Sus scrofa: one gene and its partners. The protein of the gene in region 2 interacts with the protein of the main gene of each other region in a pairwise test. Links are inferred from orthologs where the notes say so. Each region holds a gene or a part of one and is shown on either strand. Other genes may lie near its edges.

Region 1 (4,267 bases), on a different chromosome or scaffold from region 2:
TATCCAGATAAACAGTCTTTAACAGGAGTCCCTGAATAGGCTTTTGGGGAGGGTTCATAAACACCCTGAAATTACACGCACTGGTTTCCTACCTGAATGCATGCACAAACTTTGTTTGCATTTTCAAGTATAGCAATAAAGCTCTCTCTGAAAAAAGAAAAAAAAAAAAAAAAAAAGAAGGGGGTTAAGAACCGCTGCTCTAAGAATGTTCCTCTTCCGGGAGTTCCCTGGTCGCTTAGCAGTTAAGGACTCCGCATTGTCACTGCTGTGACTCTGGTCTCTGGTCCCATCCCTGGCTAGGAACTTCCGAATGCAGCAGGTGCTCCCCCAAAAAGGGAATGTTCTTTTTTTAAAGCAACTTTCCTAAAGTAATCATGGGTCTAATTCCAACTGTGTCTATTAACCACTAGGCAAGGAGTTAAAACTGAATTGCTTTGTACAGCTTAACCCACCACTGTACCGTTTGAAATACTACACCGTGGTATTTGAGATGCTGAACAGCTCAAACAAAATCGCATCGATACAACTCCGGAACCGTACACACGAATTAGTCCCACAATTTAAAAACGCGTTTGCAGAAGTTCCCGTTTAGGCTTAGAGGAAACAAATCTGACTAGCAGCCAGGAGGACACAGGTTCAGTCCCGGCCTTGCTCAGTAGGTTAAGGATCCGGCGTTGCCGTGAGCTGCGGTGTAGGTCGCAGACGCGGCTCTAACCCCGCTTTGCTGTGGCTGTGGGGTAGGTCAGCAGCTGCAGCTCCGAATCCCCCCCAGCCTGGGAACCTCCCTATGGCGCAGGTGCGGCCCTAAAAAAGTTTTTTTTAATTTTTTAAAAATAAAAACGCGTTTGCAGATTTCGTCTTCATTGACCCCCATTAGGTGTCACTTCGCCTCTATGACACCCACCGCGGAAAACAAGCACAAGTTGGCCGCAGAACGGCGACGAACGGGGTGACATTCTTCTCGCCCACGCCCGTCCCTCCCGGCTCTGCGATCCCAGGCCTTCCGAGCATCCGCAGCGGGCGGGCACGTTGCCGGCCACCGGGCAAGGCCACCCGGGGAGCTCTCGCAGACGGACGGCGGCGCCGAGCTCCCGTCGTGCCTCTACCGGCGTCCACTCACGCCTGCGGGAGTCATGGCCTGTCTCTTGTCAGCCTTCCATCACGAGCCCCGGCCACGATGCCTGCCTGACCCCATTCTCCCCGGCGCCTTGCAGATGTCAGCCGCGCCCAGCCACGGAAGCAACCCGCGCCCAACGCCTCAAACGCCGGCGACGGGCGACACGTGACCAACGCCCGCAAACCCCGGCCGCCGCTGCCGGCTTCCCGCGAGGCCGGCGCATGGGGTGTGCGCATGCGCGCGCACATGCGTGAGACGGGTGCGTTTCTCGGTCGACGGTTTCGAAGCAGCTGGGCGCATGCGCAGCGTGACGCCCTTTGCCCGCTGGGGGAGGTGCGGCGAGGCAAGGCTCCGGCGCGCGTGCGCAGTAGCTCGACGCGGGCGTTTCTTTCCTTCTTTTTTCCGAATTGGTTTTGAGGGGTAGATTCGAGTTACAAAATGGCGGCCTGGGGTGTGTTGGGCGCTGTTCCCTCAGCGGCCTCTGACTGAACGGACGGCTGTCCCCATCCCTGCCGAACACAGAGGGGTGAGGCCCCCGAGGGACATGGTGTTGGCGACTCAGGGCGTGCGGACCACCGAATCCTTCGAGGCTCTCCGCGCACCGGAAGCGACCGCGCGCCGCCTCAGAGCCGAACGCCGCGGCAGCGCCCTCGCACCTGATCGCCGCTGCGCGGCCGGGCCTCGCGGCGCCCACAACCCGGCGAGGGCTGCGGCGGCCGCCGGGGAGGTGAGAGGCGGGCGGGCGGCGCGGAAGGGGAGGGGGGGCGGCCGGGCGCAGAGGCCGGGGTCTGGGGGGAGGAACCCGGGCTCGGGGTGCGGGACTCGGGTCTGGGAGGGGGAGCCGGGTGCGGGGTCCCGGCTGGGGGAGGGGCGCGGGGGTGCGACCGGGGCGGGGGGGGCGGGGTGTCGGCAGCGACGCGATCGGGGTGTTTGTCCAGCCGGGCTCGGAGCTGACCGTCGGCGCTGCGGTGACCGACGTGCGTTAAGGCCCGCCCGGGAGCGGGGCCCCCGTGGCCCCGGCGGAGGCAGGCGGCGGCGCGGGCAGGGGCGGCCCGGGCCAAGCCTTCTCGGTCTGTTTCCCAGCGATTCCTCTCGGCGCTCGTCCCGCTGCCCTCGCCCCCTGCACCTCCTCCTGGGCCTGGCCTCACTCTGGTCGCCGCGCTCCCAGGCCGTGGATCCCCCCTTTGCTCTGTCCAGTGGGAAGCGGTTTCCTTTTCCCTAGCGTTTCAGCCCCCGGGGTCCACCCTGGTTCCTCCGGGCATCACACCCTCAAGTGCGGTCAAGTCTTCGGGCAAAGCGGGGTGGGTTGACGTTAACCCCCAAGGATGGGGTAGCATCGGGGTAAGCAGAGGTCGCGAAGCGAACCGTGTCAGGCACAAATAAAGGTGTGCCCAGTTACCAAAAGTTTGGACTTCCGATCGCAGGGTCTGCTTCATACCTGGTAATCATTTCATAACTTGATAACATTTTTAACTAGAAGCCGAGAAATTTAAGATCTTAAGAATAATAGCATTTAAGACTCTTTAGGTGCCAGGCCTTCCCTGTTTTTAAGTACAGGGAATTCCCCCCCCCCCAGGCATTAAAAGAAAATTTATTGTATGAAGACTCATGCTTTGAAATAAAATATGGATTTGGCAAAGTATTTTTTAAAGCCTGACTCATAATTCAAGTTAATCTTGTTTTTCTGTACTTACAGCGACGATTGGGAGGAAAAGATTATAATCTTTGCTGTTAACAGAACTCGTTCCTTTAATAATATGTATCGAGTCCTTCCTCTGTTCCAGGCATTGGTCTAAACTGTGCTTTTTGTTTACGTTATTCAGTTTTCATACCACCTCCCTGTTCTACAGATGAAGAAACCGAGGCGCAGAAATTAAGTGCCCTGCCCAAGGTTTACAGCAACAAAATGGCAAAACTAGATGCTAGCATCTTGTAGTAGTTTCTGGAATGTGTAGTGCTGAGATCTCTGATCCTACAATAGCTAGAACACCTGCCTGTGTGTGGGCGTGGGGCATTCCCAGTATATGTGAGTGAGAGGCAGATACCTGCCCTCTGGTTAGTCACCTGATAGACCATGGAAGCAGCTATTGAACTTAGGTTGTTTATGCCAGTTATCTTTTCACTTGTGGGTATGAGTTAGAAGTTAAAACTTTTCTCTTACTGCATTTTTGCACTTTCAGCTCCATCTCTTTTTGTCAGTTAATCTTAGTAACTGCTAAGTAGTTAATAGCAAAAATGACTGTTTCAACTTCTCTGCTCTGCTGCCCTCTAGTGGTGTTAGTTACTGTAGGAAAATGGCCAAAAAGGCTCCACAGAGAGAGAGAGCTGGCCTCTGAACAGTTCAAGTTTAGTAAGGATTTAGGTGTAAGGATACCTTGTTTGTTTTTTGGATGACACAGATTAATAGCAAAACTTGACCAGGTGTTGGGGATGAAGGCATTAAAAAAAGAGCATTTGCAGGTAATGACTGAAAATTATTATATTTATTCTCATTTATGTCTTAGAATCTGAGACTTTAAGGCCCATTTGTTCTGTTACCAGAAAAAAAAAAACCGCTTATAAAAGAAAAATTGAGAGGTTAGTAGGAGACTTTTAAAAGCTGAAAAGGCTTATGTAATTACCCTACAGGGGATCAGATTTTGGAGGACTTTAGAATGCCAGCATCTGGATTTTATTTTGTAGACACTGAAGTGCAGTGGGTAATGTTTAAGTTTGTATCTAATGACCAGGAGGTTCTAGAAACTTCTTCAGGTGGGTTGTGTTGATTGAGGGGAGATAAGAGTGGGAAAGGTAGAAGGAATGTAGGCTGATTTTCGGGAACACTAGCTAGTGTCCCAAAGTAATCGATAAATTTTTGGGCAAAAAATGGGATTTTTTTTCATCCATTTAGCTAGTGGGTCAGGGAAGAATCCAAAACAACACTCTCCATTTATTGTTTTATTTTTAATAGTGAAGGATATGATCTTAGGATTGGGGGGATAATCGCAATTATTTTGTTGTTGTTGTTGTTGTCTTTTGTCATTTTAGGGCCTTACCTGTGGCATATGGAGGTTCCCAGGCTAGGGGTCCAATCGGAGCTGCAGCCACCAGCCTACGTCAGAGCCACAGCAACGCAGGATCCTAGCCGCATCTGCATCCTACACCACAGCT
Region 2 (3,604 bases):
GATCTCTTAGACTTCCCTGTTTGAACCTTGTAGATATGACGTAAGGAATAGAAAAAAACTCATTTAAAAGAGTGTATCTCAACATTTTTCCAGTAATACTTAAATTTAGAGGTATTCATAAATAGTTAGGAGGTTGTGCTCCTCACATACCTGGATTAAAACTTACATGTGAAAAAGGCTAACAATGAAGAAAGTAGAAAAAAGCCTGTTTTAGAAATATGATTATGATTTGTTACCCCCCTATTTGTGGTATATTAGATGACAAATTATATGCTATAATAGAGTATACTCTCTATTATAGTTAAGAACTCAGGGGAAAAAAAAAATCATTTGAATGAATGGTTAGAAAGAGAACTGTGTTGGAATTCCCTTCGTGGCTAAGCAGAAACGAATCTGACTAGTATTCATGAGGACGCAGGTTTGATCTCTGGCCTCGCTCAGTGGGTTAAGGATCCAGTGTTGCTGTGAGCTGTGGTTTAGGTCACAGACATGGCTCGGATCTGGTGCTGCTGTGGCGTAGGCCGGCAGCTGTAGCTCTGATTCAACCCCTCCCAGGAACCTCCGTATGCTGCAGGTGCGGCCCTAAAATGACAAAAAGAAAAAAGAAAGAGAACTGTATATAGACTGAGGAACAACAGAACTTACTTAGCTATGAAAAAGAATATGATATCAGATTTTTTCCCTCAATTTTGATGTACAAGATGTATCTATAAATCTTCCCCAGTGATCTGATCAAGACTCTTTGCTCCTCTTTTTTTTTTCCTTTATTCATTCCTGAGTTAATAAGCATCAGGACATCTTTTCTGAGAATTCTCTTCTTTGTTAATCTGTTACCAGCTCTGTTAATGTACACATTAACTCACTAATGTAATAGTTTGCTTTTTAATTAAGATTTTCTTGGAAACATTTTTAAACATTTTATAATCTAGTATAGGTATATGTGCTTCTTAAAATGTTGTAAAATCTAAATGTTGTTCTGCTTATGGGACTGGCCATTGGTAAAAGATCTGAGATTAAGAATGACCGAAAGCTGAAATAAAGGGCAAGAGCTAATCTAGCCCAGAAAGTTTAACTTCTCGTAGATAATTTAGGTGTTCGTGGTATAATGATTAAGAAATATTGAAATATTAAAAAAAATACTGAAATATTCAGAATTTTAGTTATATGATTATTGTTTTGTTCACTTAAAGGAAAATATAATTCTATAGGAATTTATGTTTTATGGAAAGCTCAACATATAAGGTTATTTCTCTTTTTTACAGTTATTCAAACGCAGAAATGTCTCTTTGCCCAAAAGTGACGAATCTATGTTAGAAAGTCCTATCCAGGATCCAGATATCACTTCCACTGTACCCATTCCAGAGGTAGATATTACAAAAGTGTATTTAAAATTGTATTTCAATAATATTTCAGAGATGGTGATACAGCAAAATTACTAATACAAAATATTTAAATAATAATTATATTTTCTGTGTTTTAGGAAGAAGTTATTACCACAGATATGGTTCAGATGATTTTTTCTAATAATGCTGATCAACAGCTAACAGCAACACAGAAATTTAGAAAGCTGCTTTCTAAAGGCAAGATTGATTTTCATTATGGTTATTTGATATTGTTAAGAATTTATGAGTTTTGTTAGATTTTTTTCATTTTAAGGCATTTTTCTTTGCCAGTAGTTAATTTTTCTCTAAAATGTATTTTTAAATCACATCTTTTTTAAAACATTATCAAAGTAACACATGTTGATTGTAGAGTATCTACAAATATAAAAAAAATTTAAAGAAGCAAATATAAAAATCATTAGTCCCCCTGCCAAGAAACAAATTAGAGATACATATTCTTAATTCTTTTAGAAATAATTTTCAGATTAAAAAAAATGGCAGCATAACATCAGAGCATGACTGTAAAATAATTTAATCAGATATTTCATTTTTCACAGTTTTTGATTATCATAAACAAAGCTACATAAATCCTTGTACAATCCAAAACTTCCTTAGTATGAGTTTATAAAAGTAAAATCATGGGTCAAAGGGAATAAACAGTGTATTAATTTATACTCCCATCTTTAGTTTGTATAGGTATTTATTTCATTTCACTATATTCTTTTTTTTTTTTTTTTGTCTTTTTAGAGCCACACCCGCGGCATATGGAGGTTCCCAGGCTAGGGGTCGAATTGGAGCTGTAGCCGCTGGCCTCTGCCAGAGCCACAGCAACTCTAGATCCAAGCCTCATCTGCAACCTACAACACAGCTCACTGGCAATGCTGGACCTTTTAACCTACTGAGCGAGGCCAGGGATCGAACCTGCAACCTCATGGTTCCTAGCTGGATTGGTTTCTGCTGTGCCATGACGGGAACGCCCATTTCACTATATTCTTACTAGTATAATTATCTTTAAAAAAGAAAATAATGTTTGTATAATAGTAACATTGTATGGCATCTTTTTGAGTACTTAAATTGAATATTTTCAATTATTGACCTTTTTAATTTATAATTTATCTAATCATCTAATTTAAGTTTATAAAAGTTCCTTATTAAACAAAAATATAATCCTTAAGTCTATCTTGTCTTTCATGTATTGAATTTATAGGATTAGTAATTTTAATTATATCTGCTTGTATTAAGATTTTGAAATTGCCCTTGGCTAGCCACCTTATCTTCCTAAGGGAGACAATATCTAGTAACATATAAGGAGTAAAAGAACTGTTGTGTTCAGGTCAGCATAGATTACAAGGCTTTTACTTTTGCTTTCTTATTGTACTTCTTTTTCATAAGTACATTTAACTTTTGTTTTCCATCCCTTATCTTCCAAGCTGAAGTAGCTTAGCAATGTTAGGAAATCCTATATGATCAAGAATGGTTTCCTCTTCCTGACCATCCACAGTTTTTGTGTTTTTAATTTGGATTATTTTTTTGGTCACGTTAATTTTTTTTTTATGGCTGCATCCAGAGCATGTGGAAGTTCCTAGGCCAGGGATCGAATCCGAGCCACAGCTGCTGACCTGTGCTGTGGTAACCCAGTGTGCCAACTGGGGATCAAACCCATACCTCTACAGTGACCAAGCTGCTGCAGTCAGATTCTTAACCCACTGCATCACAGTGGGAACTCCCAGATTAATATTTTTTAAATAAAACATTAATTTTTAAAAGTAATTTTAAAAATGATTTAAATGTATTACTAATAACGTTAATTTTTCATTTTATCACATTCTCTTTCAAGGTTTCTTTTGGTATATGCATTATTATAACTAATTAACAGAATTAATTTAGATTTAATTCTATTTAAGAATATTAGTTTGCAACCAGTTTTTAATATCCCAACTTCCCTATTATTTAATTCTTTTGTTGTAAGATTTTATCTTCATTTGTCCTAATTCCTCAGAGTATTCTATTTTTTTTCTAATGTAGTATCTTCTTTTTATAAAATCAATGATTTCTCTCCTTCTTATAGTGGGATTGGCCTTGTCCAGGTTGGGCTTATAGCAGAAATTATAAATATTTTCTTTTACTGATTCTTGTGAATTCCTGTCAAAATAGTTCACAGCTCTTGAAATGCCTTTCTGTCAAGTTTGCATGTCTTTGTTTTAAAATTTCTTAGAGGTTTT
Region 3 (4,281 bases), about 190 Mb from region 2:
TAGAATCAGACCCATCTGGGTTTAAACCCTAGCTCCACCTATTGTTGGCCCCATGGCTTCAGTTCCTCATTTGTGCAATGACTGAAAGAACATATTAAGCCCTAAAAGTGGATGCACACGAATTGCTTGTTAGCTCATGGAACTAAGTTTAGTTTTTCGTAAAAGCCTTCATCTCATAGTCTTGTGGTTCTCATAACCTTAGTTACAGACCTCGTGCGACATCCTGAAGAGCACTGCCCTCACCATTTCCCCATCACAAAAATGTCTGCTAAGACTAACATTTAAAATACAAGGGAACTACATACTAGAAAGTTTTTGCCTTTTTCCATAACCCTCCTGAAAATTTTCTGCTTTGACATTTTCATGCATCTGATATTTTAAAAATCGATATAGTTTTGTTTGCCACTAAATGAACTTAGGTGAAAGAGAGGAGTCTTAACTTTAAGAAAAACTTATGGTAATGCCATAGAGTTGTTTTTCTCTATTCCTAAATTGTTCTCAATCTTGGAGCTTCTTCTCTATACTAGAATTAAGATGGTATCTGATTTGACACGTGACTATGTACTTATTTTAAGATGAATGTAACTTCATATTACTCCCCAGAGGTCTGCAAAACCGACTTAGTGCTCTAACCCTGTCTCTCAGGGAGCTTTTTGAGGCAGCCCATGACAAAAGCTACCTGCCAAGCTTCCCCGAATTGGAGACCAACAAGAATCCACACACCTCAGAGGGGTGCCCTTAAAAATAAAGGAGATAAAAGTCTTGAGGAACCTCGGTAAACTTCGAGGCTCCATTAGAAATGCTAATTACTGCCTCCACTAGCCTATACTTAATGTTAGAAAACCCAGGGAGATTCTCCCGAACTCTGGAACGCTCGCATCTCTGCGGTTTGAGCAAGCGGCCGGGGCTACCCCGTCCCCATCGGTCTCAATGGCCGACTCCGCCAAGTGCCACGCGCTACAGCGCGGGCCGGCAGCGATTCTGCCCCCCAACGGGGGTCCTCACAGCACTTCCAGCCCCACTTGGCCAAGGAAACACAGGTCTCGTGCTGTTGGCCCCATGCTGTAGTTGGAGGGGAGCGGGAGGTGACCCCGAAAGCCCCGGTCCCGCGCTCTCAAGTCTGCCGCCTTCGCCGGTGTCGGGTTGGCCTGGCCGAGGCTCGGCGCGAGGGCTTGGCCTTAGAGAGCTCCCAAGACCGACCGCAAAGTCTCCCCGCAGCCCGCTCGGCCGACTTCCAAGCGCGGGCTGGAGACCTGTCTCCAGGCGCGTCGAGGAAAGACCCAAGGTCTCAGCTGGGGGACGGGCGGGGAAGCCCCCGAGGTGGGTCTTACATCAGCCACCCCACGTGCGACCGGAGGGCGGGAAGAAGCCACTCCTGTCCCCCGGGCTGCGCCTTTTCCCCCCCAGCCTCCGCCCCTCCCGCCGCGCCTCTCCCCGCCCCGTCCTTGGTGCACCGCGGCTGCCGAGCCGAGCGGCGCCGCGCGGGGCCGAGTCGAGCCGAGCAGCCACCCGCGCCGCGTCGCCGGTTTAAGCGCAGTGCGGAGCCGCGGCCGGGGGCGGCGGTAGTGAGACCAGCGCTGCGCTCCAGCCCCCTTTTCCCTCCATGGTTTCTCTCCGCTCCCGTGAGTAACTTGGCTCCGGGGGCTCCGCTCTCCTGCCCGCACGCCGCCAGCCGCCCCGGACCGCGCCGCCGGCCTCTGCCTCGAGCAGACCCCTTCCGACGGCCCTCGCTGCGCAGGCTGGGAGCCTCTCCCCCCTCCGCCCCCGTTGCGGAAAGTTAAGTTTGAAGAGGGGGGAAGAGGGAAACATGGACATGAAGAAGAGAATCCACCTGGAGCTGAGGAACCGGACCCCGGCAGCTGTAAGCAGAATCCCCTTCGGGCTCCCTCTCCCCCCGATGACTTGCATGTAATGGTGGCCACCTGCGGGGTCCCAGACGCGGGCTCGCCGACCCCGGCGCGGGCAAGAGCGCAGCTCGCGGGCTCGGACGGGAAAGGCGGGCGGGCAGGCGGGCGGGCGCGGAGGGGGGAGCGAGCGCGCGGGATTAACTCTTTGGCGCCCGCGGGCCCCTGCGGCCGTCCAGGGAAGGCGGTGGGGTGGGGGAAAGCAAACTTTGAGCTCTTCGCCCGCCGGGGTCCTTTCCCGAAGGAGCGCGTGTGCGTGTGGCCGGCGGCAAGAGAGGGAGGAGGGGGTTGTGTAACGCTGGGAGCCATGTTTGCAGCCTCCCGAGATGCGCGGCCGGGCGGAGGCCGGGCCTACGGAGGAGCCGCGCTGCCAGTCCGGACTGGGCCCGCTGCGGGCCAGGCCGGCCTCCGCGTGCCCCCGGCCGGCCCGGGAGGGGGCTCGGGCGGAGCAGGAGGCTCCTCCAGCCAGGTCTCGCGGTTGGCGCCGGTCCGGCCAGGACGGGAGCGGAAGGACGAACAGAGGGTTCTTTGCCTCCAAGGGGGACAGGAAGCCCCCTCGGGCGCCGGGGGGCTTGGGCGGGCGCGGCCTGGCGCGCGCGAGCTGGGGAGGGGCGAGCCCGGGTGGCGGAGGTGGCGCAACCGACGCCCCTCCCGAGGCCAAGTTTGAAAAAAGGAGTCGGTTCCCGCCATTTTTCAAGCCTAAAAATAAAACTTTGTCTACCTATCTCTCGCGCCCCTTTCGACCCCCAGGCCTTCCCCAGTCCCGGTCTCCAAATGCAGGCCGCGCTCGGCCCGAGCTAGCAGTTGTGGCGTAAGCGGCTTCTCCCTCCCCCCCGCGCCGCGGCGGCGGAGCCCGGGGGCCCCTGCCCGGGAGGTTGGCCCCTCGGTGTGGGCGGGCGGCGGCTCCTCGCGTCAGCCCAGGCGCGCCACAGGCCGACGCAGCGCCATGTTGGCGGGCACCCGTCTCCTTCCGCCGCGTGAGTCGGCCTGCGGGCTCTGTCCGTCCGGCCCTGCCCGCCCGCACCGGCGGTGGCTCTGAGCCGCCGCTCCCTTGGCCGAGCCTGCGGTTTGTTTGGCGCGGGCCTCGCCAGGGCTCGGCTCGCACTGGCGGGAGCCGAGCGCTCCGGCCGTCGCCGACTCATCTTTCGGGCGCGCTGCCGCCCCCTCCCCCCTTCTTAAAAGGGCAACGGCAGGCGGCCGCCTCCGCCCCTAGTCGCGGGTACAGACGGGCCTCGGCTGTGCTTGCTTGCCGGGCGGGCGCTGCCCCGCACGTGCTTCAGAGCCGCAGATCCAGGCCGGTGCTCGCCTGCCGCGGCTCCGTGAGTCGCTGGTGGGCCTTGAAGAGTCACGTCTTTATTCTCTACCCCGCCCTCCCCGCGAAGTAGAGCGGCTTCCCGCGGCAGGGCGCGGGGCCATGTTTCCTGGCGCCAGCGCTGGGAGGCCGCGCCTCCGCCAGAACCCCTCCGCGGGTGAGTGGCGTCCCCTGGCAGAGGGGCGGCCCGGGGAAAGCCCTCACCACCCCCTCCCGCCCCTGCGCCCCACACTGGAGACGGGCGCGTTTCGGGCAGTCAGGTAGCGTTGGGTAACAAGTTGCCAACTTGTGGGAATTCGTCAAGCAGGCTTTCCCTGGTGTGCCAGGGGTTTTAAATCTCTGAGGTCCCCACAAATGAGGTGCGGCCCTGCTGCATCTGGTGTTCCCACCTCTCCCTGGAAGACCTCTGGTGGTGGGCGTCTCGACTCTGTCCCCTGAGTTTTAAGGTTGAGATTTGACCGCGGTCGTCCCTTCCGTCCATCAGTCAGACATTTTGTGTCGGCCACGTGCTAGTACATTGAACCTTTAAGCCTCTTCACACTGAAACTTGCAACCTAATTTTGAGAAGAGTTAAGACATTTGAATTATTACTGCTCAGGTCCAAATCAGGTGAACGTGAGTAATTAAATTTACCCGAGTTTCCAAAAAGAAAAATACGTATATGGTTCTTTAAAGTGCCTTAAGATCTGGGATTTGGATTTTAGCAATGTGTGTAGAACAGTATTAAAATACTCGGCTAAGGGCTCTGTGGCTCCCTCTGAGAAGAAATACAACTGAGCTGGTGGTGTATATGGAATTTTTTCGCACATGAAATAACTAATACTGATTTTTAAAATGCATATTTATGTGCGTTGGGCCTTTTATTTTTTTTCCCATGAAATCAACTTAAGCCTTACCCTTTTGCCAAAACAGTTTTTAGTCATGTGGCTTTTTAAATTAAAAGGTCATTTTGCCAGTTGCACTATTCACATTTCAAGTACTCAGAAGTCCCAAATGATTAGGGGCTGCTGTATTGGACAGTACTGCTCTACAGTAATTCACTGGTTTTATTAAATAAATATTTGC

Evidence for each region.
Region 1: the proteins of KPNA5 (region 2) and NUP50 interact in binary tests that used the Homo sapiens proteins (3 or more experiments, as listed by UniProt). The two-hybrid records come from large-scale screens. The link is inferred for Sus scrofa from reciprocal best matches to the Homo sapiens genes KPNA5 and NUP50.
Region 3: the proteins of KPNA5 (region 2) and ANP32B interact in binary tests that used the Homo sapiens proteins (3 or more experiments, as listed by UniProt). The two-hybrid records come from large-scale screens. The link is inferred for Sus scrofa from reciprocal best matches to the Homo sapiens genes KPNA5 and ANP32B.

The regions. Positions count from the first base shown.
Region 1 is NC_010447.5:4,216,509-4,220,775, reverse strand, and holds the start of NUP50 (nuclear pore complex protein Nup50), read left to right. Parts: upstream 1-1,365; 5' UTR 1,366-1,844; intron 1,845-4,267. UniProt on the Homo sapiens protein: Component of the nuclear pore complex that has a direct role in nuclear protein import. Actively displaces NLSs from importin-alpha, and facilitates disassembly of the importin-alpha:beta-cargo complex and importin recycling.
Region 2 is NC_010443.5:44,931,153-44,934,756, reverse strand, and holds part of KPNA5 (importin subunit alpha-6), read left to right. Parts: intron 1-1,262; coding exon 1,263-1,364; intron 1,365-1,480; coding exon 1,481-1,580; intron 1,581-3,604. UniProt on the Homo sapiens protein: Functions in nuclear protein import as an adapter protein for nuclear receptor KPNB1. Binds specifically and directly to substrates containing either a simple or bipartite NLS motif.
Region 3 is NC_010443.5:239,840,611-239,844,891, forward strand, and holds the start of ANP32B (acidic leucine-rich nuclear phosphoprotein 32 family member B), read left to right. Parts: upstream 1-1,451; 5' UTR 1,452-1,807; coding exon 1,808-1,861; intron 1,862-4,281. UniProt on the Homo sapiens protein: Multifunctional protein that is involved in the regulation of many processes including cell proliferation, apoptosis, cell cycle progression or transcription.